4 linked regions of the Astyanax mexicanus genome follow. The protein of the gene in region 2 binds, or shares a complex with, the protein of the main gene of each other region. Links are inferred from orthologs where the notes say so. Each region holds a gene or a part of one and is shown on either strand. Other genes may lie near its edges.

Region 1 (7,630 bases), on a different chromosome or scaffold from region 2:
AAATAAGAGACCACTTCAGTTTCTGAATCAGTTTCTCCGATTTTGCTATTTATAGGAATATGCTTGAGTAAAATGAACATTGTTGTTTTATTCTATAAACTACAGACAACATTTCTCCCAAATTCCAAATAAAAATATTGTCATTTAGAGCATTTATTTGCAGAAAATGAGAAATGGCTGAGATAATAAAAAAGAGGCAGAGCCTTTAGTTCATATTCATAAAGTTTAAAGAGTTCAGATGCTGGAGAACTAAACTATAAAACTAAACTATAATGCTGTACTTTAGCGGAGTGGCTTTACTGCTCTTTACAACCTGACTGGTAGAATTCATACATAAGGTGCACTGACATTTTTTTTTTTAATTAAAGAACTTTAAGTGTGCCTTATACTAAAATATATACTAAAAAATGTGGGTAAATTTCTTGCTCTTACCTTCTCCACATGCAGTGCAAGTTTGACCCCATTGTGCAACCATGAGAGAGCTACAATAGGGTCTCCATCAACAGAGCTGCTCTGTATACTTTCCCAGCTGTTCACAAGGTGTTCCTTCATTGCCCAACACTTGATCTCTCCGTCCCCATCAGCAGAGAGCAGTCTGGATCCTAGTTACACACAATTTAATGAATGAAGGCAAAAATTAGATATGAATATACTGCAGCCCTAAAATGAGTGAACATCATTACAATACTCTTTGTCCTAAAATTTCACCTATCAGGGCACACAGTGCTAATCTTTTGCAATATTAGATCATTTAGAAAAAAATGTATATATGAGAGAATGCAAAAATATTGGCCGTTTTACAATTAAATTTTAAACAGTGAGGTTAACTTACCTGACTGGTCCCACTCCAAGCACGAAATAACTTCCCTATGACCCGAGTTGATGGAGTAGACATCCCAGGGGTGTTCAGTGTCAATGATATGAATCATGTGACTGAGTTCTAAAGCAAAAAATGTACTATGTTAAACACTTAGACTGCACTAAGGGGAAAAAATATATATCCATGATACACAAAAGAAAACAGCTTCAACAGAGCAAACCAATAAATGATGAAGTCTCAGGTTTCGTACAAAAAATATATAACAAAATAAGCAATGTAACAACAAAAAAATTTAGCAACAAATCTAGCGCAATACCAAAGTGTGGAATATTTAGTGCATGCATATAAAGTGCAAAACAATTAAACAAAAACAACCCATAAATCTTTCCAGTAAATAGCAACTAATACAAATAACACAATACTATTGCATATTATAAAATATGTAACATCTGTATGTGCAATAGAAGAGGGCTTCTTTCTACATTGTATTGCATTGTGTTCAATTTTTGTGATATCGAAGCATATTTGGATGACATTACTGCTAAAAGAACACTGATGAGCATCACTATTACATTACAGAGAGTTTAATCAGTAATGTTTAACTGGATTATGTGCAGCACAATTGTGTGTATGCTCAAAATATTGCTATAAATAATCAAGGGATCAGAGAACTCAAGGAATCAGAATCGGTAGGAAGAGTGGAGAGGCACACAGTCCAAGCTGCTTGAGGTCTAGTGTGAAGTTCCCACAATCAGTGATGGTTTGGATAGTCATGTCATCTGCTGGTTTTGGTCCACTGTGTTAAATCAAATCCAAAATCAGTGCAATGTTTTCCCGGAAAATCTTACAGCACTTAATGATTCCTAGAGATGCAGATTTCATTTTGCAGCAGAATTCGGCACACTGCCCACACCGCCACAAGTACCAATCGGTCTTATATAATATTCTGATTTTCTGAGATACTGATTTTTGTCATCATCTTCAACTATAGATAATAGATTACTGTGTATAAAACATTTATATAATACAGCTTTGGAAATAATTAAAAGACCACTTCAGTTTCTCTGATTTTACTATTTATAGGTATATGTTTGAGCAAAATGAACATTGTTGTTTTATTCTATAAACTACGGACAACATTTCTCCCAAATTCCTAAATAGAAATATTGTCATTTACAGCATTTATTTGCAGAAAATGAGAAATGGTTAAAATAAAAATAATAACCCTGCTTTTTAATCAAAGTTTTCGTGCATCTTGGCATGTTTTCCTCCACCAGTCTTACACAGTGCTTTTGAATAGCTTTATGAGGATTTCAATTTGGTAAAATCAAAGAAAGTGTTCTCAATTTTTTCCAGAGCTGTATATGAATTTTACATTTTGAACTGAACTACTGAAATAAGGCAACTTTTTAATGATATTTTATTTTTCTGAAATGCAGTAGTATGTTCAGTGGATCTGAAATATGCATAGCTAACTAAAAGTGGTAGACACAAACATAGTGTTAGGCTTAAGTTCTGTACACTGGCTAAAATTCATAGACATAAATGAATAAAGTGTAGAATATAACCTAATATAACTAACTACACTTTATATTAGACAGAGGATAACAGAGAGCACTAGTATAAGGACTCCTCTTACCTTTATCGTCCTCTTCATTTTTCAGGTCTGTTGTGAAGGCGATGAGGTTTCTGCAGGACCAGGCACACACCAGCGGGATGGAGGGGCAGTGGTTGTTTTTGGGTCTCTTCTCCCACTCGCACACATACACAACCTCCATTATTAATACATTAACGATTTAACTAAGATAGATATACTCCTCCAATGTCTCCGGGTTTCATACAAACGCTCAAGTGAACAGAGAGCCATTCAATAGACTCTACTGCCCGGCGTTAGCTAGCAGCTAATGCTAGCTTGTTAGCTAGCCAGCTAACGCTAGCTTGTTAGCTTATTTAGCTAACCAGTTCGTCATAACAAAGCGCAAAATCTCACCAAATTTGATACAAATGAGGGGGAAAAAGCGACGTATTTAGAAAAAATATGTACAATCCACACGGTTCTGAAACAACACAGTTAAACTAAAATAAAGTTTCTGTGTATGGAGATTATACAGTGAACTACAGCGCTGTTGCTGTGTGTATGAGTCTTCCTCTGCAGCGCTGCGCTCCGCCCAGCACTGACCTGTCAGAGCGCCGTTACCGGCCAGGAGTGTAACGACCCTAACCATAAACAGAAACACTAACTGTTAGCTAACTAAGCTAACAGACTAACTAGCTAACTAAATATAATCTATGTCATAAAATATATGGTAACACTTAATAAAATGTCCCGTAACTTCTCTGTATGAACCAGTATTTACAAAATATTTACAAGGTCTGTCTTACTGCTACTTAAATGTAGCTACGAATAAAGTAATGAGGATAACCAGGAACCAGAGAGTAGGACCCGAGTACGAACCAGCACATATAAAATACAGTAGCAATAGTGGAACAATTGGGCAATTTTCCGACATTTAGTATGTAATTACCAAAATGTATGGTATAATCCCTGTATGAGCCTATACATGTGTAACACTAAGAAGCCCGTTACACATATAAAATACGTGCCGGTTCTTATTGGTACTTAAATGCATGTACAACAACAAAAAAGCCCAACCAATAACAAGAAAATAACAATTTCCCAAAACATGTGGTGTATTTTTTTTATTTACCTCCCTAACTTTATTTTTGTATCTTGTATGTACTCATAAGTTATTTGAACTTACACATTTACACACTAAATTGTGGGCTGTATTAAGTGTTACTAAAGGTCTGAAATAAATGTCATTTATTTGGTGCAATTCTATATGTCTAATTTTTGGTAAACATTTTATGTATTTATCCATTGACATTATATAGTTGTTTAAAATTAGGTTTCTACTCCTTTAATTAACTTTTGTGATATATTTTAATTTTCATTTTGTTCTCTATTCAATATAAAGATTTAACTACATTGTTATTAAGTCACACGAGAATAGTAATTAAATCATTATAATAACTCAATTGTAATAACATGGTAACAATGCAACTAATAAATGTGTTGACCGTACTAAAATCATAAAAAATAAAATTAAAAAATAAATGTAAACATCTATGCAATATTTATAGCCCAAAGTCTTTATTAAAACGAAGTAAACTGTATATTATAGTAAAAATCTAATAAACATCTTAGCCTACCATGTTATCCTAAAGTGTCTTCCACTTAGTATGAGGGGGGTTTTCCTTGTTACTGTTGGCATCACTGTGGTGCACTGTGTGTGGTTTTACAAATGTTGTAAAAAGCGCTATATCAATATAATTTAATTTAATTTAATTACCAAACTGGGGACAAGCCCTGAACTGTGGAAATTAGTTCAGTGAAGGACGGCTATTAAAATTAACGTCACATTTTGTTTTGACTTGACGCATAATAAATTACCTTAATAATTCATGCTCTTGACACAGACCATTGTTTTAAAAGGGTAGAATCAAATTGATTAACTGAGGATCTAGGCGATTTTGCCACAGGTGTGTTTGTAGTCGTCCCGCGTAGAGGTGGCGCTGTATCTGAGATCAGCCGCTGAGTCCGGGTCTAACACATCGGCATGACTGTCTTTGCCAACCGCTCACTTTCTTCGCTCTCGTCACTCCTGAAGTACCCAAGTACGCCTTGATTAGAAAAGGGTCGTGTAAACAGGGGGACCACAGCGAGAGGATACAAGTTCTTGGCAGCTTCTGTCGGAGAGGAATCCCGTGGGATTGTATTTAGCGTCGTTACGGTTCCGTGTGCGGTAGAGGGAGAGTGAGTGTCAGGATCTGTGTTTAATAGAGAAGCTGATCTGAGGAGCAGCAGATCATACGGCCTCTGTGTGCAGCTAGCTGTACGTCAGACTGAACTGTAGTTTAGCCTAGCTAGCTAGGTTAGCTGCTAGTTTAATAAGCAACAGGCTAGCGGGCTATGCTAGCAAGTGGCATCGAGTTTAGTTAGCTCTTTTTAATTTAGCTACATTTCAGCAACACTGACAGACTCTGTTAATTGACCTGGAGTATTTAAATCAGTTAGCTTAGCTAAGATAGTTAGCTTAGTGGTAAATGGAGCAAACGTGAGCTAGCGAGGTTGTAGCTAGCGTAGCTAGCTAACGCCTGGTTAGTTGGGTTAGTAGAGTAGTAGGGCCAGGTACAGTTTACTTAGCGCTAGCTAGCACGTATGCTAAGCTAGCTAACGCTAGTTCGGTGTTGTTCATCTTATTAAGGCTGACAAAGCTATTTAGCTAAGGATAGACCGAAATAAAAACAGAAGAAGACTAAAAAAACAACGTCTACGGAGTGTGACATGCCCCCATTCAGTAGTTAGCGGTAGCTAGGTTAGCTAATGCTAACTGAGCTTGTTTTTACAAGCCAGCAAACTCGTAGCGATGTCATGAGACACACATATCCAAGATAACTAGGGCTAGCTCAGTCAAACGACGTAGGCTGGATTATTAAGAAATTTGGTGCAGTTTATAACGTTAGTTAAAGTACATGCACAGACTGTAGTGCACAAGCTAGCAGACTAGCGCTAAATAACCACACTAAGATAGCTAATGTTTCTCAGTTAACTAGCAAACCCAGGTTAGCTAATTACAGCCACCCACGTTAATTTGTTAGTTAGGTAGCTAGCTAGCATTAGTTAACTAGGTTAAGTGGCAGTACTGTTAATTATCAGTATCTGCGTATGTCGCTCCCTGTCTGACCTACATGGCCATCAAATTTTCGCACTAAACTCGTGGGACTGGCGTTAGACATGTCAGACAACCAGGGAAACCTAAACAACAACAACGTGCCGTTGAACAACAATGGCGGTCCGAACCGAATCCGCAACCCGAACATCAACCAGAACCCCCTCATCAACGTGCGGGACCGCCTCTTTCATGCCCTCTTCTTTAAGATGGCAGTCACCTATGCCAGGCTATTCCCACCGTCCTTTCGGAGGATTTTCGAGTTCTTCGTGCTTCTGAAGGTACGTGTCATTTGTTTACCCCGTACCCTTTTGGACCTGAGCCCATATTTGTTGAGCATTTTAGCTACAGTGAGAACACTATATATACAGTATATACTGAGAATGCTACCTTAGCTAATCCAAGTTCAGGCCTACTTCTGGTTATAAATTAGCAGTTTAAGCCTTCTTTGACATCTTGAATTGAGATATTCCATTTAAGTATAATCTATAACTAGGCTTTATCCCTGTTTGAGAAGCTGCCCCTCACTCTTCTATGAAAGTCACAGTGTAACTTGACCACAGATACACTCTGTAATTCTGTAATTAGACATAGAGGACACGCCAGGCTTTCATATTATGAATAAAGGTTAAATGTTGGTGTGCCTTAACAGATTGATCTGGATTGAGATGGCACAATAACATATTTTAAAACACGTATTCTGTGACTGCTACATTCAAATCTGCAATATTGGCCAATTAACCCATGCAAAACTGTATGTTAACTATATAGATAATAATGTTTTTACTGACTATTAGTCAAAACAGGACCTGTCATGTTAAAATGTTGGCTGCAAATCAGAAGTCAACACTTATCTCTGCTCAAATAGAAATTGTATGTGTAAAACCTGCCTATAGGTGAGGAAAGCCACAGAGGTAAACATGGTACACTGTCAGAAATAGACAGAACTATTGTACAGAGTGCTATCCAATGAAAAACTAGTATTTTACAAGAGAGATATGAAACCACCTTTCCAACTTTCAATGGAAGTTAGTTTGAAAAGAGTTAATTTCAGGCAATAAAGAAGAATTTCTTTTGGTCCATCCATCAAGAAATTTTCACACAGTATAAGGGACAGTTTGTGTATTCATGTTTTGTAGTAAACTAAAAATCAACAAAAACGCTTGTTGGTATCACCCTGTGACAGTTTTGAGCTGCTTTTTCTAGAGAGCTCCTGAGTAAAGGGACTTAAGTTCTGGCCGTTTAATCAGGAGATTGCAGGTTTTAATCCCTGATGATACCATTGCCAACTATAGCCCTGTTCCAAAGGGGTCCAGGGGTCCTCGTGTGCATGTACCCACAAGACCCGTAAGGATGTGTGGAGTGTCCCATTTTTTTTATTCTGCTGAGCTAAAGAATGTTTACCTACTGACATCAATCACATCCTCTCATTTGCAGGCTTTGTTTGTGCTGTTCATTCTGGCCTACATCCACATCGCCTTCTCCCGATCACCCATCAACTGTCTGGAGCATGTGCGTGAGAAATGGCCACGTGATGGAATCTTGCGCGTGGAGATCCAGCGCAACTCAAGCCGTGCGCCCATATTCCTGCAGTTTTACGAGACGGAAGGATTCCAGGGGCTGGTTAAAGAATCCAGTGGAGATACAGAGGACACCAGCCGAGCTCCTGTTCATCAAGAAGAGGAGGAGGAGGACGAAATGACCATGGAAATGTTTGATAACAGCTCTGTTAGGGTAAGTAAAAGGAAAAACACATGCAGGCACTTGTTCTGTTTTAGGGCAGTGTTTTCCAGTCCTGGGTGAGGGGAACATACATATTTTAGTGCATTTCCTTCCTAGGTAAACCTTTGGGACAGTTTCCTAGATGGGGATTAAGCCTAGTCGTGATCTACACAGTATTTTGAATGGAGATTGTATATTAAAAGGTAAATCTAGTCATAGGGAAATTGCCCTTTATTTATGTGTTACAGCAGAGAAAACAAAAAGACTGGACATATTTTAAACACTAGAGTATTTGTTTTTGTCTTTTATGTCTAGGAATATTCTCTTTTATTAAGACTAAATTTAAATACTTTTA
Region 2 (7,405 bases):
CTGAACCTGTCTCTCCTTTCCCCAAAGGGTTTTTGTCTGAAACTTGAGTAAACAGATTTGCCTGTGTGTGTGTGTGTAACAAGCAACCCGAGCAATAGCAGCACAACATTCCCAATCAACTACCAACCATACCATACAGTAGCAGCTGGCCATTATGAACTGTCTGCCAAAGCAAGGCATCTCTTTCCTTTCTTTTTTCAATGGCATGATGAATGGTGAGTATGAATCCTGACCACTCCTGACCACCACACCGTGGGGAACAGTACAGTAGCCCTCAAGCTCATTTCATGAGGAGGCAGACTGCCAAAAAAAGAAATGTTAACCTACCTTTCCAAGCCAGCCCAGCTCTCAGGCTCTTTTGGCATGTTAATGATTGGCTAATAACAGTAGGCTACCAGAGATTGCTTCACCTTTGTACCTTGAGAACAGTAGGCTGGTGGTGGGTGGATGGTTGATTGGTCCCTGCCCTCAAGGAGAACCCCACAACCAACACACAGACACACATATACATACATACACACACACACACACACACTTCCAGGCAGTCAGGCACAAACCCCACAAACCCACCCACCCAACACCACCACCACCACACCCCCTCAGCTGCTTCATTCCCCCCTCCAGCCCAATCGCTGCCACTAGCTAGCTAGACTCTATGGGACATAAGTGAGTGTATAGAAGTAGGTTGGTTGACCGTACCAGAGAGAAAAGGTTGGAATGGCAGTCTTCAAGGCTCGCCCCGTTAGCCACCCAGTTCGCTGCTGTAGTCATAATCGTCCGCCGATGGGCTCGTCAGCGTAGGGCATGTCGAGATCCTCGATCGGTATCAGAACCGAGCAGAGGGTTCTGAGAGGGGGTAGTTAGGCAGGTACTTAGGAAGGAAGGTAGGTGGGTAGGTTGGTTGTCGGTTGAAGAAGGTGGATGAACGATTCCTTCAGTAGTAAAGCAAGCAACAAATATAGAAAAATCACGGAGAAAGCCAGCAGACTGAGAGGAACAACGCAGTGTAAACCAGCGGAGGCGTGATTTCTCTCTTTCTCTCTCTCTCTCTCTTTTTTTAAAACACTGTAGCGAATCCGTAGGAATGCCTTAGGGTTTAATTCCTTCCTTCCTTTCTCCGTCTCCGCTTTTTTTTCTTTTCTTCGGGGCGAAAACTGAAAACTAGCGCTAGCACTAACACTTTGTTTCCATCCACACGAGCTCGGGGTGGCTCGGATGCTTCTCGTCAGGCGGCTGAAACCGAATCATTGTCTGTGGCGATGCGGTGGCGGTGGGTATGATGATGATGATCCTCCGTGTGTTTAATCCTCCTAGCCGCCGTGAGATGATTTGACCATCCTTGTCCATGCCAGTTGACTTGTTTTTTGTTTTTTTCTTCTACTACTAATACAATAACTGTAATAGCATATCTATAATCACAGTATATCCTAGTAATCCACGGGAGAAGAAAAAAAATAAATGTAATTCAAAAAAGCAAGAGCCAGGACCAGTTATGCCCTTTCTTTCTTTCCTTCCTTCTCTCCAATCCTCTCGGTTCTTTCTCCTTTTTTCTTGCACACAACAAAAAAAATCCACACAAAAAAGAGGACACGTCTCAATATCGGCGTGCTCCCAGTTCAAGTTTCAGTTTTGTAGCTCGCTATGGCTAGTATAATCCACTGAAGCGTCTCTGTTTAGGAACAATACAGAAGCGCGGAGCGAGTGAGCGGACTCCATTGACTCCCCCACAGCCCTCCATATATGAGAGAAGGCGGCAAAAAACACACACACTCACACACACAGACTGAGGAGAGAGAGCGATAGATAGAGAGAGGGGGCACACGAGAGAAAATGATACTAGCTGGCTAACGTCGATGTAGTTTCTCTCCCTCTCTTTGGAGCTATTTATAGAGCCGTCCTCACTCTTCCCCTGATACGCGAGCAACAACACAGTCTGGCTTCTGAGCAAGGGAGGAAGGAAGAATGGTGAAAAATCCTCGTTTCACTTTGCAACTAACGCAAGCTAGCTAACCCCAGCTAGTTAACTAGCGTTCTGGAGGAGCTAAAAATAAAAACCTGACCCTCCTCTTCTTGTCCTCACTCTCTCACTCCCTCCCTCACTCTCTTTCTTTCTCTCTCTTTATCAGTCTCTCAGTCACCCAGTCACAGAAAGAGAGAGACTAGGGAAGGAGGTAACGTTAGTTAGCCACCTAGCGAAGACAACAAACGAACATGTTTAACCAGCTAAAGAAACCTTATTAGCTATGCAGTTAGTTAAGATAACTAGTTAGTCAGCTAACCTAGCTAGCTAACGCAAAGCTAGTTAACCTGTTTAGCTAGTTAAAACAATAAGAAAACAACATTAAGCTAACATTAACGCTAGCTAACAACAACAGCAGCAGCAGCCGTAGCAACAAACAGCAGCAGCAACTGCAATCTTCCTTAGCTACCAAACCTAGCTTAGCTTTCTTAGATAAGCTAAAAACCAACAAACAGAAGAGAAAGGAAAAAAACTGAAGAGAAAGGGGAAAAAACTTCCTTCCTTTCTCTGGTTATAAACATAACTAGCTAGTTAGCTAAGTAGAACGAAATTACGAAATAACGTAACGTCCTCTCCCGGAGATATTTCTCTCTTTCTCTCTCTCTCGCCAGTTTCTCTTCTTCTTGTTCTCCTTCTTCTTCTTGTAGAAGTAAAGCTAAATAAAATCAAACAAAAGCCAGAAACGAGTCCGAGTCGCTGACAGACAGATAGATAACTAAGATACAGGATAAGCTAGATAAGGAACAGATCCACCGCCGATAGCTCCAGTCACCGAGTAAACACGGCCGTCTGACGAGCCTCCTCAGCTATCTGCCCTGCTCGAGTCGGCCAGAAATCACACAGCGAGCTCTCTCCGAAAGCGTCCACGGCGTGCCATCCGTCACTGTTGCACTGTTTAGCCGCTGTTTCCCCGAGTCGCCGAGAGCTGCCGAGCGCGAGCGAGAGGTTCCGAGCGCTTCCGAGACACTCCGAGGACAAATCGAACAGAGCGAGGCTCCTGGATCCTTAAAAAAAAACACACACAACACACGCGACGCACGCTCTGTGTTTGGATGGAGGCTATGCAAATAGAGGGGTCTTACTTTATGTGTGTGTATGTGTGTTTTAGAGAGACAGTGTGTTTGTGAGAAACGGTGTAGCTTATGTGTGTGTATGTATGTGTTTGTGTGTGTGAGAGAAATAGATAATTGTTTTCTAGAAATTGTTAATTTCTACACTTTAGAAATTGTTAATCTCTGAGACAGTCCACTATTATTTACTGTTAAAACTGTATAACTCAGGCATTGGCAACAGAAATGTATCACTATTTATCATGCCAATAAAGCACATTGAATTGAATTAAATTGAGAGAGAGAGAGGCTGTGTGTGAGAGAGAGAAACAGTGTAGCCTATTTGTGTGTATGTGTGTAACTTTGTGTAAATATGTGTGTATGTGTGTAAGAGAGAGAGAAACAGTGTAGCATATGTGTGTGTGACTTTGTGTTTGTGTGTGTGTAAGAGAGAGATATTGTATTTGTGAGGAAAAGTGTAGCCACTGTGTGTGACTGTGTATATGTATGTGTGTGAGAGAGACAGAGATACTGTAGATGTGACAAACAGTGTAGCCTATATGTGTGTGTCTGTGACTTTTTTATGTGTGTGTGTCTGTGTGAGAGTGAGAGAGAGGCAGAGACAGAGAGATAGAGACGGTGTGTGTGTGAGAAACAGTGTAGTGTGTGTGTGCTTACGCTAACAGTCGCTGGCAGCTTTTCGCGCTATTCGACAGCCCACCACGCATAGCTATGTAATGGCGGCCGCCAGGCTTCGACAGAGACTCGCTTTCCTATTTGGCAAAGTAGAGCACAAAAAAAGCACGTGATCAAAGCAAAGGGATTACAGCAGCGTTTTCAGCCTCTTTTGATAGAAAAAAGAGAGAGAGAGAGAGAGAGGGACAGAACCTCATCTCGACGCTAGAGGCGCTGATACCCAATTAAACACACCATAAGCAGAAGAAAAAAAAAGAAAAGAAAATACAAAACAGAGAGGAAAAAAGAAAGAAAAAAGATGAAAAAGCAGAAGAAGATAAAGGCATGCTCCCTCTAATATGCCACTGTGTTTTAGATGAAGATGAAGTGTGTCAGACCTTCTGTGTGTCAAGTCCAAGCACAAAAGTCATTTTGCAGACTAATAAAAAATGAGTTTTTACATGAGTTTTTAATGTAGTGTGTAAACTTTCCAAGCAGTACAGTTCTATGGTGATATCATGTAAAAAAAAAAAATAGTAACATGTGGCGATGACTTATTAAAGCGTTAATGATGTCATTCCCATGCCTTAAGAAGTCGTCCCCATGACTTAATTATTTTGTTCCCATGCCTTAATAAGTTGGGACCATGACTTAATTATTTTGTTCCCACGTCTTAATAGGTTGTCCCCACAACTAAATATCTCATTTAGATAGGCACTATTAGTGTTGAGCGTATTAAAAATCTACACAGTCAATTTGTCAGACTGTGATTGTGTAGTTATTACCATCCTGTATGGCAAGCATATATTTTGATATATTTTAAGTTCAGCACCCCACTGACTGACAATGTTGATACATCCAGATCATTTTAATGCACAATAATCTAATTTAACTAGCTCATTCACCAACTATATTATAAATGCACAGAGACTTTTATTTGAAAAAATAATGACGGCAGTTATTACAAATATAATAATGACTAGGTCTGAAATAAAATGATTTAATTGAAAATGAATGAATACTCTTTTCTAATCTACTTTATAAAAGAAAACAAAAGTATCTGGCAAGTCTCCCAGAAAATGCTGAGAAAAATGCCAATAACCAGCTTTGCCATTAGTAAGCCAACATTGGTCAGCTACCTTCTTTCTGCCAGAGATGAGATTAGCTTCCATTCTGAAACTTTTCCATGTTTCCATTGAGTTCCTGAGCAATTTAAAATAACTGAAAAATGTTTCTAAATAAGTTAGATTAAGAAAGAATCCAAACAAACAAATAAACAGTAATTACAGCCATATATTGTTTGTGAAAGAATAGGATGTATGACTGTGTTTAGAATGATCATGTGCATATTCTTTTCCTCTGAATTTGGATGTGAAAGGGTTAAAGAGGATATGAACCTAACCATGTCTTATGATTGACAGGAATGACACAGCTTCCACATTTATCATCAGCTGATGAAGGAGTGCACATATTAAAAAGATAACTCTCCATATCTCTGCTGAGCAATTGCATCATGTATAAGAAAATTACACCCATAACACTTTACAGTATGAATTCCTATCTCATTACTTCACTGCTTACTTTTTGCAAGAAGGCCAGTAAGATGTCTTTAAACTTGCCAATTCTAAACATGTATTTATATTTACACACTCATAGTAATATGTATCTAACATTTTTTCACAATTAACCCAGCTAAAATAAACATGAAATGTAATAGACAAAAGTAAGATAAAAAACAGAAAAACAGTATCAATTAATTACTATTTTTTGTCATTTGATTGTAAATGCAACACAAATTGTCATAATTCCACTTTACTTAAAGTTTTTTTTATCCTCTTTACCCCAATTTACACAGCCAATTACCCAAGCCACTCATTAGGACTCCCCCTATCACTAGTGATGCCCCAACACCAGGAGGGTGAAGACTCCGGGTGAAGTCAGTCATCGCCTCTTTTCGAACTGCTGCTGATGCGGCATTGCCGAGTAGCATCACACTCAGAGGAAAGCGGAGCGACTTGGTTCTGATTCATCAGCTTACAGATGCCTTGTGCTGATCAGATTCCACCCAGAAAGAGCAAGGCCAATTGTGCTCTCTCGGGGCTCCGGTAGCTGATGGCAAGCTACATAAACAGGATTCGGATAAGAACTGGAGATCTCCCGGTCATAGTGGCTGTGCCTTAGACCGCTGGACCACTCGGAACCCATTTCGTTTGACACCAGCTGTTAGATAGTATAATAAACAGTGCAGTTATATAAGGTGTACTGTCATAACCTATTAACATATTGTAATAAAGTTGTTATACACTGTTATGAAATAAACTACAATGTACACTTTACACTACAATGAACATTTTACAGACAAAAATACTGAGATACCTGCTTATTCACTGTTCTCTGTTATTTGAGACATTATGGCAACTGTCTCGACTGTCCAGGGAGGGATTTGTACTAGACTGCTGTGAGGATGATTCCCACCTCTGCAACTAATCCCAAAAGTATTGGATGGAGCACTGCTTCACAACTTATGCTGGAAAGCTTTTTACCTCTCTAGTCCATGTCTGGCATTCAACATAGTGCCAACTGTTTCAGGTATATCTGCTTCAGAGAGTCCTATTCTATTGGCAATACTTCTCTACAGGCTTATGAGAGCCTACCTCAGGGAACAGCTAGGAAAAGGACACTCAGACCTGTATAAACTGTTCCAGTGAGGTCTGATATTCGGTTCCAGATAAATGAGACATTCTGTACCTGAAGTTCTGTTGAAATTTAATCTTCTTTAATCCACAGCATATAATTCCAGACTCCCAGGAATACATCATAGAAGGCATTACCTCCCACAGTGGACAGAGCAGTGTGTGGTTATGATGTGACCAGCGACCTCTGGCTAGAAATGTCAGTGTAAACAGACAAGCAACTCTGGCAGAAATCACAATTACATTTAATGCAGGAGGCCCCACACACATCAGCCTCTATACGACATAGCAAAAGTAATAGGACATGATATTACAGTTCTATGTCCCATGACACCTGGCATGTCAGTGCATATGCTGTACTGAAATTAAGAAATTGAAAATTATACACTGGCTGGCCAAAAAAAAAGTCTCCACCTGGATTTAACCCTCCTATTATCTTTGGGCTCAATCTGACCCCATTCATTGTTTCAAGTCTCTGAAAAAATGGTTGACATTAGTTTTGTAATTCATATTTATTGTCTTTTCTTAATTTAATGAAGACAATTAATAAAAAATAAAAATGTTCAAATGGTTCAAATTTAATGTCTGTTTTATAAAGGCTGTTTTGTTGGCATAAAACATAACAAAAATAACAATATTTGACATATTTGTGTAGTAATAATGTTAAGATCACCATGACGTTCAGTTTTATAAAATTTCTCTAAATGTCCCTTTACTTTAGGCCCTGATTTAACAAAACATTACTTATAATATTTATGCAATACTAATAAAACACTTGATACACACTGGTAAGTAAACTTTGCCAACATGTTTAATGATCTGTAATTATAATAATTTTTTGGAGGTTTAAATTGCTAAGATCATATTAACCAAGAGAATAAAGGATGTTCATATATTTGACGATAGCAGGAAGGTTAACAAAGCAAATGCTACAGTCGGTCAGGTCTAGGTTCAGCAACAGTATGTGC
Region 3 (7,669 bases), on a different chromosome or scaffold from region 2:
GCTGCATGACCAGGATTCAAACCAGCGATCTCCCGATCATAGTGGTAGCACTGTAGACCGCTGGACCACTCGGCATCCCATCCAGCACTTTTGTATTGATGGTAAAATGGTGTGGTGATAATCCAACACCCTGACCTCACTTATGCTTTTGTCACTGAATGCAATCAAATCCTTACAACACCCTGCTAAAAATATCCAGCTCAAATCCAGCTCGCTATTAAAAAAACATGCCTTTTGCTGGTTAGGAGCTAGTTTAATGGTTAGGAGTTTAGTTTTTTTTTTTTAATCTAGCAGAAAGCCTTCGCTGGACAGTAGAGTCAGTTACTCCAACATAAACAGATTAAACTCTTTTATAATATACTTGATTTCAGGAAAAAAAAATAGTAGATACCCCTTTTGTTTATTATACATACAGTGTATAATAAAATGTTTTGGTGATTGTTCAATCGCATGAAGCAAAATATATAAAATCAACAACTAAAAACTATGTATTAGAATCAAAGATAAATAAAAATGTATCAAGAAAGAAATACAGTTTTTTAATGGTGAAATTCAGCCGCATGTGCACTCACCCCAGCTGGTGAGCATAGAATGGGAATCAGCCTTCGCCACTTGCCAACTCTCTGTTACCAAGAATAAACTGCATTAGACTCATTTCCACATGCCATCAGCTGATGCTGCCATACTTTAGCTGAGCTTGTGCTGATTCTTCATGCTATCTGAGAAATTTAAATTAAATAATTGCAGGTAACTATTTAAGAATATATACAGTACCTGTCAAAGTTTGGACACACTTCTCATTCATTGATTTTATTTTATTTTTTTTCTTACATTGTAAATTAATACTGAAATCATTCAGACTATGGAGAAACCCATAATGTCATGTAGTAATTTAAAAATGTTAAACAAACCAAAATACTCTGTGAAGCATTTAGGTGGCTCTTATCTGGGGTTTAGCTGTTAACATGCAGTTTCTGGGGCTAGTAACTCTGATTAACTTATCCTGTGTAATAGAGGAAACTCTTGATCTTCCTTTCCTGGGGTGGTCCTGATGAGAGCCAGTTTCATCATAGGGCCATTCCACCTAATGGGTGCCATTTGCTTGTTGTAACTCTTCCAAATTAATTGTATTATTATTATTATTTTTTTAATTTTCCAACTCTGAATCTAATAACACATATATTTAACTATTTAAAATATGTACTGGTCAATCTCAGGCAGCTTTACTTTGAAAGTAAGTTTTCTAAACTGAAGATTACAAAACTCATGTGACAGTTAAAAAGCATGTTTAAAAGCAAGTCTACTAATTCCTTTGATTTTCTCTCAAGAAAGTCTTTATTTTAAAGAAATGGTTGACTGTATGTTCAAATAATTGATATTTGTGACAAAAAAAAAATCACTCCTGTTACTGGAACTCACTACTGTTACTGGTACTCATTCCTGTTACTGTATATGTTTTGAGTAACAGAAAATAAACTAACAGGAATTAGCTTTTAGGATAGAATTAGTAAAAACAACAAAATTTAAATAGCTAAATGGTGGCTATGCTAATAGCATAGGGACACTGAGCACATTCTAATGATTTTCTCAAAATTTGTATTTTAAAAATAAACATCCAAAAATTAATTTAGGCAACAGGACAGAATGTTGAGATTAACCTTTTCAGTCATATCTACAATAAGATCAAATATACAGAAAAACAAATGAGGGAACTTAATTTTGATCTTCAGAAGAACCAACTGATGTCACTTCCTGTTGTAGATGTGACTTGTAGAATGTTTTAAATGTTTCAGATGGGGAATGTTTTATGGTAACAGGACTGAGTGAAACAGCTAAAATGTGTATTTTAACCTAAATATTATAGACGCATAATGAAAAATATATTTTTAAAGCATAGATGGTATTTGGACTTACACAACAATGCAAAAAATAATACATGTCTAAAGGATTTTAATAATTATATTTCATGGTGAAGTTTATATTTAGGAAGTGGGGACAAATGTTATTTTATCAGTGTTCTATGTAGTTTTTATTAATGTTTTAAATTACATATATTACTTTTGCAGTTAGATAAATGTACAAGACACTATGCTTAATAATACAATGTATTTTATAAATATTTTATATTATATATACATTTATATATATAATTTTCTGGGGACAGAAATGGAACCCATTCGGTGGAATGGCCTCATAATGTTTTTGATGGTATTTGTGACTAAAAGTTCTTGAAATGTTTCGGATTGACTGATCTTCATTTCATAGAATATTTTTTACTACCGTATTTTACGGACTATAAGGCACACCGTATTATACGTTGCACTATCAATAAACATCTTTTTTCTGATCTATTTTCATACACAAGGCGCACCGGATTATAAGGTGCATTTTAAGTGACAATAGTAAGGAACAGGGTTTTTATCATTTTTCCCTTCTAATTCAGCAGGTCTAACAGCTGAGGGCGTACTGTAACAACTGTAATTCCTAAAAAAACATATTTTCTCTTAAAGTCAAACGAGTGCTGGATGTTAACCTACACAGATTTTTCTCCTGGAAACTCTTTACTTACAGTAAGCTTAGATTTCCATTTTTTTAGCACAGCTAGATGCAGTAAGCAGCACTTAGCACTAGAAAACACCACCTGACAGAGCTACACTGAGGAAGTCTGAGTGTTCCAGTAACCCAGGGTACTATTAGCTTGTGGTTCGTCTGACGTAGTTTGTTTTAACATGAAAAACACGTAGACTACAGTCTGCTATACTTACCTCTGAACAGTAAAAGAGCTAGCGTTGCGGGTAGCGGCTAATGCTAATGCTGCTCCAGCCTTGGTGCTGGAGAAACTTCACTGTAACTCCTGTATAACGCTGTACTCCAGTATAATTCACACATAAGGCACACTGGATTATAAGGCATTCTGTTGATTTTTGGGAAAGTTAAAGGATTTTGAGTGCGCCTTATGGTGCGAAAAATACAGTATTTACTTAGTTGAGCAGTTCTTGCCATAATATGGATTAAAACATTACTCAAATAGGACTATTTACTGTGTAAACAACTCTACCTCTTCACAACTTTACAACTGATGCTCTCAAACACATTAAGAGGCAATAAATTCAAGTAATCAACTCTTGACAAACTACTACTAAATAAAAATGAGAAATGTGCAAAGACAAGATGTGTAAAGCTGTCTTATCTAAGCAAGACGTGCTACTTCGAAGAATCTAAAAAATAAAACATATTCTGGGCTGTTTAACACTTTTTGGTTGAATAAATAATTCAATCTGTTTTGATTTCGTCTTTAGTATTAATCTACAATGCAGAGTTGAGGTATAAATCTCACTGAATGTTCTTTTATTTAACACCCACAGGAAAAGATCTGAGGTCTTACCTACCTTCTGCTCAGTCTGTTGCTCGCTGGTTTAACGTCAGTCTGCTGACACCTGCTGTTCATTAAGTGAATTGCACTGCTGGCCTATTTTTAACAATATGAACAGACCTCAATAATTTACCTAAACAAGCATGTTAAACATCACTGCACAGATCTCTCCATAACTATATCACAGATTGTGTTCCTAACCTTTGGAACACTATAGTGCTTATACACAGCTCTATGCAAATGTTTTTTTTGTGGCCAAGTATGTGCATCTTAAAATATTAGAATAAAGAAAGTTGCTTTATTTCAGTAATTCGGTTCAAAATGTGAAATTCATATATTATATAGATGTATTACAAAGAGAGTGATATATTTTAAGCATTTATTTATTTTATCGTTGATGATTATGGCTTACAGCCAATGAAAACCCAAAAATCAGTGTCTTAGAAAATTAGAATAATATATAAAACCAATTGGTACTTTTGGCAGTGTCCACACTACCTAATAATATTCAAATTTGCAGAGAGAATATATGAGTTTTACTATTTAAACTGAATTACTGAAATAAAGTAATTTTTATTGAAATGTTATATTTTTAGTGATGCACTAGTACATATACATCTAGATTTTTATACAGTCAAAAGTTTGAACGCACCTCTTTTCGTTCAACGTGGTTTTTTTTTATTTTTATTTTTTACGATTTTTCCCACATTAAGATTTAATATTAATGAAATAAAAGATCGACCGGAACACGTGGTGTTATTTCGTAAACAAAAAATCTAAAACAAACCAGATTATGTTTTATATTTTAAACTCTAAAAAAATTAAAATAACTAAAATACAGTTAGTTATTGTATTTGAATTTATATTACTATATGGGAGAATATATCTATCTATCTATCTATCTATCTATCTATCTATCTATCTATCTATCTATCTATATATATATATATATATATATATATATATATATATATATAGATAGATAGATATATTCTCCCATATAGTAATATAAATTCAAATACAATAACTAACTGTATTTTTACTGCACTATAAACACTAAAACAAAACTGTTAAAAACGTTTTTAAAAATGCTGTTTTACCTAAGAAAGCAAAAAATCTTAAATTAATATGTGCAGAACAAAATATGCATTAAATAATCCACACTGCTTTAGTTTTAGTTAATTAATGTATTTACAATAATTTAAGAATAATTTCAACATCGATTTTTTTGTGTGAATGGATCGGTAGTCGACTCTCCGCCCCTGTCCGCCTTTTTCTGTTGCACCCAGTCCGATGAGTCGATAGTCGAGCGGTAAATCTGGAGGTTTGTTGTCATCGCGCTTCTGCGAGTTAAGTGAATATCTGGATAAAGATGAAGACGGAAAATCTCCGGGTGTGAATTAAATTCAGTTCTCAGTCTGAACACTTGAATAAAGCGCTCCTCTCGGGTGTGGTGTGGAGTGAAAGCCGGGGTAAGCTGCTGTATTAGGTTTGATATGATGATACAATGCTAAGCTAACTAAATTTAAACCCAGAATAAAACCCATTCCTGCTGTTCGGTTTGTTTAGTATAAGTGTAATTATAAATACAGGTAGATGGACTGTAACCTCGTTTAACAGGGCTTCTGTTTTACCCTGATTATTATTATTACGTTACACAGCCGGCTGTTTTATACGAGGAATAGTTTTGGTTTAATTTCGCTTTTCTTTCCTGGACTTTCCCGTTCCACCTTAAATAGTGTAGCGGTGCAGCGTGAAGTCTTAAGGAGCTTCAACGCAACTGCTGCACTATTTAAGGTGGAACGAGAATTCCAACAAGAAGTATGTTTCATCCAGTAAACTAACCTAAGTTAGATAATTAACTACATGTCTAAGGAGAGTTTATTAGATAAAATAGTCAGTAAATTTGCATTGGAAATTAGTTATTATATATTATAATAATATAATATATTATATATAAATATATATATATATATATATATATATATATATATATATATATATATATATATATATTATATTAGTTAGTATTATGTTGCCTCTTTGTATTTATTTACACTTGTCTTATTGAAGTAATTTGACGACGTACTAGCTACATTTGTTAGGTTATAGTGGTAAATGTCTACCTTAAATATTATATATACAGCTGTGAAAAAAATGAAGAGACCATTTCAGTTTATTCTATAAACTATGGACAACATTTCTTCCAAATTCCAGATGAAAAAAATTGTCATTTAGAGCATTTATTTGCAGAAAATTAAAATTGACTGAAATAACAAAAAAGATGCAGAGCTTTCAGACCTCAAATAATGCAAAGAAAATAAGTTCATATTTATAAAGTATTAAGAGTTCAGAAATCAATATTCAAAATCAATATATGGTTATAATGTGTATAATTCTAATGTGTGTAGTTTATGAAAATAATTAACAAGGTTGATGTTTTCCTTCTTCTGTAGCACTATGGTGACCCACATGGACCCAGCTCCCAAAATTGGTGCCAACCAGGTTTCAGACGTGGTGTTTGTTATAGAAGGAACAGCGAATCTCGGTCCATATTTTGAATCTCTGCGGAAGAACTACATACTGCCAGCCATCGAGTAAGAGCTACTGACCAGCTTTGTTCCAATATTGCTCCCATTTGTTTTTATTATGTTTTACTAGTCTTTTGATATTGTTATAACAGGTACTTTAATGGGGGTCCACCAGCTGAAACAGATTTTGGAGGAGATGTGAGTATAATCTGAAATGTTTACTAATGTGTATGTTTACGTGTGATAATTACGCTGTTAGTGGAAGAAAAGCAGGTTTATATTGCATTTAGCATGTCTACAAGCACTTAAAAGTACACTTTGTCAAATAAACAAGATGACTGAGCCATGACCCCAGATGCAGGGGATTGGCCAAGACACGTTTGGTATCTAACATGTTCTTTTTTTAGTTTTAAGCGAGGAATGCTAGGCTAATGTTGCTAACAAACAGTGGACTTGGACTGTCATTTGTCTCATCTCCCTGTAAATATATGTCTAAAATTGTTTGTCTCTCAGCCCATCTCTAAAGTCTTAATTTGTTAATAAAACTAATGTGGTTTAGAGCATGATTAAGTAAGTAAATTTCATAAGTATTTGGGTAGAGCTAAATGGTAGGACCACTTTTCATATTTCTCCAGTTTAAAATTATTAGTACTAAAAAGTACAGATAATAATAATGTGTTCCAGATTTGTTAAATTGTTTTATCTTGCTTGTAGTTTTTTTTTATTAGATTTTCAAAGAATATTAATGAAGTGTGCTTTAAGTTTTTTGAATAAGAAGATTGTGATCAAAATCTAAAACTCATATCGTTGTCTTTTTAACATAGATAATGTTTCTCTTAAATATTTGTTGTGCCTTAATGTTTTTCCCCAACAAATTGTCAAATTACGTACTGTATTTATATCGCCTTATAAGGCGCACTGTATTATAACACACACTGAAAGGTAAATAAAATTAAATGATTTTAAGTGCGCCTTATAGTAAAAATATGGTAATTGCCATTTTAGAGTTTCAGCATTAAGTGTTAACTGTACTGCCACACTAGGTTAGTATGCTGGTTTTGTACAAATTTGAACAATCAGAACTCTGTAATGATCACTTTACTTACTCTTACCAAGATTTAAAATGTTATATGTTCTCTTCCTCAGTATGGTGGGACACAGTATGGACTGGTGGTCTTCAACACTGTGGACTGTGCTCCAGAGTCATATGTCCAGTGCCACGCTCCTACCAGCTCTGCCTACGAGTTTGTGTCGTGGATTGACAAAATTCAGTAAGTCCTAATTAACTACAAAACCATATTTAATGCAGCATTATGTAGGGCTGCATAATATGATGATATATTTTGATTAAAAAAAAGTTGTTTACACTTCATATAATACTCTATTGTCTGTATCATTGCAAAATACAACAGACTTTTTGTTGCAAATGCTGCAAATGCCGAGTTAGTCTTCTTCAGAGACTGTAAAAAAAGATGGACGCCGTGTCGCCGTTCCCATTCAATGAAAATGAAGCCAAAATCTTCCACCATGTTGGCGATCCTGAAACCCGAGTCTGCACAGTAGAGACCAGAGGAGGGAGAAAGACTGTGGAGAGACAGCCTACTCATTTAAATAACTCCGCCCCTGAGGGCTGCAGAGCGGTCACAGGCTGCAGAGCGGGAGTGGGAGTGGAGCTGACGGTCTGTTATTGGTCCCGCCCATAACCAGCCCTTTTACAATAATCACACCTGTTTTGAATTGAGCTGAATAACGTTTTAAAAAACTA
Region 4 (7,684 bases), on a different chromosome or scaffold from region 2:
TTGCTAACCAGCCAGCGGCACAATAAGAGCAGCCATGAACACAAGTATAGAGGTCAAAGTATGGCATATATGTTGGCAAAGATTAATTTTTACTTACATTTTGATTGTGTGTTTTAGAAATTAAAAGCTAAAAGTGAGGAAAAATGGACGAAACTTCCTTTCTTCACTATACTAAATGGAAACAAATGAGTTAATACAGTTTTACACCCAGTAAAACTACTTTCTACTTTCAAATTTAGCCTCAAACAGTCAGAAAATTTAATTAACTAAATTAATTGATGAATTTTACACTGAATGAAAAAACAGAAGAAGAAACATCATATATATAAAGCAATTCAAGTCATTTCATCAATAATGCTGCACATCGCAGCGTCTTTATCCCACACTTTCTCCTTCTTTGTGGTTGGAATGTTTTTGTCCGTTTGTCCTGCCATGCAGCTAACGCCCGCCTCCTCCAAATCCATGGGTTCGGTTTTCAGTCTGGACTCGCCTCCCAAACCCGCGGCCCCGCCCAGCCGACCCGCTCCGGCCCCGCCCGCGGCGTCCGGCTGCGGCAGGTCGTCCGGCAGCGAGGCCAGGCAGTTCTGGATCATCTCCACGACTCGCTCCAGGTGCTTCTGGAAGCGCTCGGCCGTCTCCAGCCGCTGCCTCTTCTGCACCTCCATCATCACGCGCAGCGTCTCGCGGGCCTGGTGGGGCCGGTACTCGTTGATGAGGTGATGCATGTGAACGAACAGCAGTTTCAGGTCCTCCAGTTTCTCTTCCCGCTTAATGCTGCCCGGGCTCTTAATCAGAATATCCAGCAGGTCCAGAAAGTTCACCAGGATGGACATGTTGAGCTTTTTCAGTTCCCGCTTGTGGTCGAACTGCATGGGGTGCAGGCGCTCGATGCCCTGGCTCTCCAGGGGCCGGATGATCAGGTCGTCGCACTGGAACTGGTTGCCGAACATGGTGTAATTGTCTCGGATGGGAGGCGGCGGTTTTGGTGCCAGGCCTTTCCGCACGTTCTCGTCCGTGTACTCCTTGATGTACTGCATCGGCGGCAGCGGCAGGGCGCTGACCTGCTGTGGCTCACCCATCCTGAGCGTCTGGAAACGGAGAGAAAACAGAGAAAACAGAAAAGCTTGACATAGTGTACATTTATGCTGATACCAATACAAACATATGACCATTTGAATTAATGAAATAGTGTGTTAAATCCAAATGAATTAGTACAACATAGAAGTATAGTTATTATTTGTTGAGTTTTAGAAACACTTTAACAATTAGAGATAAACCCCGTTAAAAAATGCTTATCTTATATAATAAACAGTATTTGAATCAGTCATGTTAAATGACCAATGCTTCAATAACTGTGACTCCATACATACAGTGTCTTTAAAATATATTGCTTTGTAATTATATTCTGTTATCATTATATCTGTAGCATACATTGGTCTTAAAATGACAATAATATATAGTTTATAGCAATAATTTCTGGTACTGTTTAGACACACCTACTCATTCAATGTTTTCTTAATTACTTTATTTAATTTACACAATTCTACATTGTAGATTAATCTTGATTAAAGACACAAAAACGATTAAGGGACACACATAGAATTACGTAGTAAACATAAAAAAAGTGTTAGTCACCACATTAATCTCCTGATCTAAACCTGATGAACTGAGTTGGTGATTTGAGGTGATTTAAATTGGGATGAGCCTGAGCTGCACAGCGTGAAGAAGGAAAAGCAGCAACTATTGTTCAGCACCTCCAGAAACTCCTTCCTTCAAGACTCTGAGAAAACTATTCCAGGTGACTCTCCCTCATGAAGACACTGAGATTAAAATACTGAGAGTGTGCAGATCTGTCCTCAAAGATAAATGTGATACTTTTGTGCTAAGAATCTAAAGTATAAAACAGATTCTTGTTTGTTTAATACTATTTACTGTTTACAGAATAATTCATACAGCATGCGCTCCAGTAGAGCTTTAATATAGTCTTCAATATTGCAATAGCTATACTATAGTATCTATCCATCCATCCATCCATCCACTAATTACCCTGATACAGCAATTTAGGTTATTCAAATATCATCCGAAACTTCTACTTCTAATACATATTCTAATATTTTGTATTTTACCAGCAAATTTACACTAGGGTATAGGGGTGGGCGATATGGCTCTAAAATAATATCGCGTTATTTCAGAGTATTTTTTGTGATAACGATATACTTGCCGATATAGGAAAACAGAAAAATAATTAATTAATTTCAGGAATATAGAATAACAGTTTAACAGCATAATCATAATGTGGCAAAATAAATCATATAGCATAAAATAATATAATGCAGCAAATAATATTGCAGAATATTTAGTGCATGCATATAAACTGCAAACTGAAACAATTATACAATAAATACACCTAAAGCTTCACAGTAAATAATAGACTAATTTTAAGACAGAACAGCCCAATTATCAAGATATGGATTTTTAATATCACGATATTTCTGTGTCACAATATATTGTACACACCTACTAGGGTAGCATAGTTTTACAATGTTGCTAAAATCGACACAACACAGGTCCCATGCCTATATAATCAACACAGCACATTTTTAAAGTTTTAATCACATTAAATCACTGTTTAACGAGGTTTAGAGTCGTATAAACGCTAAAAATACATTGAAATATATAACTAAATAACCTATATACACATATAACCTATCTAACCCTAAATCTAAAACATTAGCTTTAGCATAGCTTAGCTAGCTCGTCGCTAATGCTAACCTGCTTAGTTAGCATCTAAATAAAAAGTATTTTAAAAGCCCTAAACGCGTGTAAACAGCTCCAGTTACTGCAGTAAATCATACAGAAATTATTACATACCAAACTGCAGCCGAACCGCGCGGAATTCTGTACAGATTATTAATAAAATACAAAATAAACACAACCCAGCCAAGCTCCTGCTCTCATAGCGCCTCCGAGCCCGGACTGTAAGCTGCCTTCTGATTGGACGACACGGGTAAGGGAGGGGAGCTGTGATTGGTGTAGATCATTTAAAGGCGTGTTCAAAACAACAGCGCTGTAAACGTTTTATTTTTTGTAATGTTTTAAAATTAATAATTTTATTTAATAATTATTTGTTTAATTCACGCTATGGTTATTTTATTTTTTATTATGTATTTAACAAACAAGTATACAAATAACGTCAAACAACTGGGTCATCTTAACGTTTAATAATTCAATTTTCTGACCGTTTGAGGATAAATGCAAAATTAGAAAATTGGATGTAAAAGCACATTTTTTTATTTTTTTATGTAGTTTCATCCATTTTTCCAATTTTATTTTTTTCATCTCTGACCCTCACAATCGGAATGTCAGGAAAAAGGAAAAAAAATAATATTTTTTATTTTTTGATTATTCAATTTTAACATTTTACAAAATTAGATGTAAAACTTATTTATTTATTTATTTTTAAAATTCAGTATAGTAAAGAAGAAATGCGTTTTAATCCAGTTTTTCAATTTCTGCCTTTCGTGAACAGAATTTCAGAATTTTTAATTTAAAAAGTGAATCTTTTCTTGATATTCAGATTTTTTCCATTTTTGGATTAAATCTGATGGTGTAATTCAACTAATGTTATTTACAAAATGAAACAATGAAAAAAATCATCCTAAAATTTTCCTAAAATTCTGATTATGAGGGACAGAGAAGAAAAAACTATATATTATAAATAATGGATAAAAACGTCTACACTGCACTAATGTAAACAATTAAATAATGACATTTTTATCCAATTTTAGACTTTTGCACTTAGCCTCAAACAGTCAGAAAATGTAACTGATAATTGTTAAACTAATCAAAAACTGCAAAGCTTAGTTTTGCATCTAAAATTTTTGTTTGTGATTAAAATATTTTGCTAGTAGAATATAAAAGTTTACAATATATTCTAAACGTTTAATCAATGTATTGTTATAATAAAAAATGGTATCTTTATGTATAAAAGTGTGGTTAACATTCATGGGCAATAATGCGTGGCCATGACTTATTAAAATGTAAATTTAGATGTTAATTTCACTAAATGAACATACTTTCACCATTTTGCTCCACTGAACTGTGTTCAAAGTTTAAACATGATTCTCTTGTCATGTTCATCAGTCTAATTTTCTGAGCAAATAAGGCTAAATTTAAAAACATATACAACTGGGTGTAACATCTTTTTACATATTTTCCCCTATTTAGTATAGTGAAGAAGAAATGGGTTTTCTTAGGAAAACAAATTAAAATGAATTAGGTTCCTGCCCTATGATAATACCTTCATTTCTTCCTAAAGTATTTTTCTTCATTTAGTTGAGTAGTTCTTGCTTCTCATAATCTGGATTAGAACATTATTCAAATATTCACTATTTACTGTATACCTGTAACTCTACCTCTTCACTACTTTACAACTGATGCTCTCAAACACATTAACATTAAGAGGCAAGAAATTTGAAAAAGTAGTAATTAACTCTTGATGAGTTCAGCACAGCTGTTAACTGAAAACCTGAAATCCAGGTGACTCTACCTCATAAAGCTGACTGAGAAAATACAGCAGAGATGTGCAAAACTGTCTAATTTAAGCAAGAGGTGCTGATTTGAAGAATGTAAAATATAAACATATTCTGGTTTAACACTGTTTTCTATAATTAATAATTCCATATGTTTTTTTCATGGTTTAGATGAGTTTAGTATTAATCTACAATGCAGAACATTTTAAAATAATGAAAAAAAAAACACTGTATGTAAGTTGTGCCAAACCTTTGACTGGTACTGTATGTATGTGTTTGTATGTGTGTATATATGTGTGTATGTGTGTGTGTGTGAGAGCACACTTGTGTCATATACCTACCTAAGGAAGTGGTTTACCCGGTGTATCTTCTCCGGAAGCCCATAACTCATGATGCACCAGTGTTAGTCTACAGACGCATGATCTCTGTTAGTAACACACACTCCACGGCAGCAGCAGCAGCAGCAGGAATGCCTGAGCCCAGCTCAGCTCCTCCAGCAGACTCATGTACCCTAACCCTAACACGTACCCGCGGGTCATTCTGAAGGGAACTTTATTTAAGAAGTCTCAGCAGAAGCGCAGAACCTCCCCCTGCAATTATAAAGAGCGCTACTTCATACTCAACACTGAGGACCTGACCTATTCAGAGCGTCGCCCTGGGGTGAGTACACTCGCTGCTGTACAATATACATAAATATATATATATATATATATATATATATATATATATATATATATATATATATATATATATATATATGTACATTTTTATTGTGGGAGTAAGATGATATAAAAATGGAGTTACAGCCAGAGCCAAGCCCGAGTCCAGACCAAGACCGGCATACATTGAGTCAGAGTCAAGACCAAGACCGGGCTATATCGAGTCTGAGTCAAGACCAAGACTAGGCTATATCGAGTCTGAGTCCAGACCAAGACCGGGCTATATTGAGTCTGAGTCCAGACCAATACTAGGCTATATCGAGTCTGAGTCCAGACCAAGACCGGGCTATATCAAGTCTGAGTCCAGACCAAGACCGGGCTATATCGAGTCTGAGTCCAGACCAAGACCGGGCTATATCGAGTCTGAGTCCAGACCAAGACCGGGCTATATCGAGTCTGAGTCCAGACCAAGACCGGGCTATATCGAGTCAGAGTCCAGACCAAGACCGGGCTATATCGAGTCTGAGTCCAGACCAAGACCGGGCTATATCGAGTCTGAGTCCAGACCAATACTAGGCTATATCGAGTCTGAGTCCAGACCAAGACCGGGCTATATCAAGTCTGAGTCCAGACCAAGACCGGGCTATATCGAGTCTGAGTCCAGACCAAGACTAGGCTATATCGAGTCTAAGACAAGACCAAGACCTGGCTATATCGAGTCTGAGTCAAGACCAAGAGCGGGCTATATCGATTCTGAGATAAGACCAAGACTGGCTATATCAGGCTATATGAGTCAAGACCAAGATTTGTGGTAATCAAGTCAGCTAGTCAGTGGCCAATACCGATATAAAGATTAATATCCCAAACCAGAAAAAATTATTTCAAACCACTAGAACTGAGTCAAGAACAAGAATCTTAGCAGTCAAATCCGACTTAAAACCAAGACTTATTTTGCAGTCAAGTCTGAGTCAAGACCAATAATTTTTTTTAGACGAGTCCATGTCAAGATCAAGACATTTGGTAATCAAATCCGAATCAAAACCAAGACTTTGAAAGTCAAAACAGAGTCAAGACTAAGACTTTTTTTAGTCAAGTCCGAGTTAAGACGAAGACTTTTGGGAATCAAATCAGAGTCAAGATCAAGACTTTTTTGTAGTCAAGTCTGAATCAAGACCAAGACATTTGGAAATCAAATCCGAGTCAAGACTAAGACATTTTTGTAGTTGAGTCCGAGTCACGACCAAGACTTTTAGGAATTAAATAAGAGTCAAGACCAAGACTTTATTTATTCGAGTGCTAGTCAAGACCAAGACTTTTGGAAATCAAATCCGAGTCAAGACCAATACTTTTTTCTTAGTCGAGTCTGAGTCAAGACCAAAACAACCAAATCAAGACAAATACTTTTTTTTGTAGTCAAGTCTGTGTCATGACCCATACTTTTGGGAATCAAATCCAAGTCAAGGCCAAAACTTTTGGGAATCAAATCGGAAGTCAAGACCAAGACTATTTTGTAGTTGAGTCAGAGTCAAGACCAAGAAATTTGTTGTCAAGTCTAAGTCACGACCAAGACTTTTGGGAATCAAATCAGAGTCAAGACCAAGACTTTTGGGAACCAAGTCCGAATTAAGACAAATATTTTTTGTACTCAAGTAGGTGTCAAGACCAAGATTTTAAGGAATCAAATCCGAGTCAAAACCAAGACTTTTCGTAGTTAAGTCCGAGTCAAGATCAGGTTAAAGATTTTTGTATATAAATATAAAAAGTCAAAACCACTAGAGCCAAGTCTAGACAAGTTTAGACATACACTTTAACATATTGAGTCTGAGTCAAGACCAAAACTTTTGTTAGTTAAGTCAGAGTTAAGACCAAGACTGGGAGATATCAAGTCTGAGTCAAATTCAAGACCAGATAAATATTATTTCATGTAAATATAAAAGACCTCTAGAGCCAAGTCAAGTCTGAGTCATGACCAATTCCAAATGGGATCAAAACTAAGATTGCTTTTTTATGGGAGACCAGACTCGAGTCTTACAACAGTAATTACCAGACAGCATATTTGTACTTTTGGTATATACTTTATGTTACAATAGGAATGTCAGATTTTAACAACAGCAAGACTCAACTATTAAACAGCATGGCTGTAGATATTAGGTAGCGTTTACTGTGGTCTCATATTCAGTATTTTGTGGTGTTATTGAGCAATGCCACAGAAGAAGCATTTTTGAAATTGAGATTCTAAAAGATTTATAGACATGAATGTAAAGGTTCTTCTCGCTCACATTAACTCCTTTTCAGTTAGTTTTCTTCTGTAGTGTTATTAAAATCAGTAAAACAATCATTTTGTATCACCATACTTTTTACAATCTTTTTAAAAATACTTAAAAAACAAACAAATAGACTGAAGCTTTTATTGGGATAACAATACTGAAATAAAGCATGAACTTAATTTGATGTAAGATCAGGCAAGTTGGATTTGGCAAAGGTGTGGCACCT

What was found.
Region 1: mediator of RNA polymerase II transcription subunit 13-like (region 2) and med16 share a complex: the UniProt entries of both Homo sapiens proteins name them as parts of the mediator complex. The link is inferred for Astyanax mexicanus from reciprocal best matches to the Homo sapiens genes MED13L and MED16.
Region 3: mediator of RNA polymerase II transcription subunit 13-like (region 2) and med25 share a complex: the UniProt entries of both Homo sapiens proteins name them as parts of the mediator complex. The link is inferred for Astyanax mexicanus from reciprocal best matches to the Homo sapiens genes MED13L and MED25.
Region 4: mediator of RNA polymerase II transcription subunit 13-like (region 2) and med7 share a complex: the UniProt entries of both Homo sapiens proteins name them as parts of the mediator complex. The link is inferred for Astyanax mexicanus from reciprocal best matches to the Homo sapiens genes MED13L and MED7.

Annotation. Positions count from the first base shown.
Region 1 is NC_064423.1:18,117,326-18,124,955, reverse strand, and holds the start of med16 (mediator of RNA polymerase II transcription subunit 16), read right to left. Parts: upstream 3,005-7,630; 5' UTR 2,599-3,004; coding exon 2,460-2,598; intron 941-2,459; coding exon 833-940; intron 603-832; coding exon 433-602; intron 1-432. Other genes in the region: tmem259 (membralin), read left to right, coding at 5,619-5,834, 6,991-7,287. UniProt on the Homo sapiens protein: Component of the Mediator complex, a coactivator involved in the regulated transcription of nearly all RNA polymerase II-dependent genes.
Region 2 is NC_064408.1:20,292,863-20,300,267, reverse strand, and holds the start of mediator of RNA polymerase II transcription subunit 13-like, read right to left. Parts: upstream 3,009-7,405; 5' UTR 772-3,008; coding exon 700-771; intron 1-699. UniProt on the Homo sapiens protein: Component of the Mediator complex, a coactivator involved in the regulated transcription of nearly all RNA polymerase II-dependent genes.
Region 3 is NC_064426.1:18,402,140-18,409,808, reverse strand, and holds the start of med25 (mediator of RNA polymerase II transcription subunit 25), read left to right. Parts: upstream 1-4,658; 5' UTR 4,659-4,845; intron 4,846-5,829; 5' UTR 5,830-5,833; coding exon 5,834-5,970; intron 5,971-6,056; coding exon 6,057-6,102; intron 6,103-7,050; coding exon 7,051-7,175; intron 7,176-7,669. UniProt on the Homo sapiens protein: Component of the Mediator complex, a coactivator involved in the regulated transcription of nearly all RNA polymerase II-dependent genes.
Region 4 is NC_064417.1:49,420,455-49,428,138, reverse strand, and holds the start of med7 (mediator of RNA polymerase II transcription subunit 7), read right to left. Parts: upstream 3,020-7,684; 5' UTR 2,872-3,019; intron 1,089-2,871; 5' UTR 1,080-1,088; coding exon 336-1,079; 3' UTR 1-335. Other genes in the region: itk (tyrosine-protein kinase ITK/TSK), read left to right, coding at 5,037-5,192. UniProt on the Homo sapiens protein: Component of the Mediator complex, a coactivator involved in the regulated transcription of nearly all RNA polymerase II-dependent genes.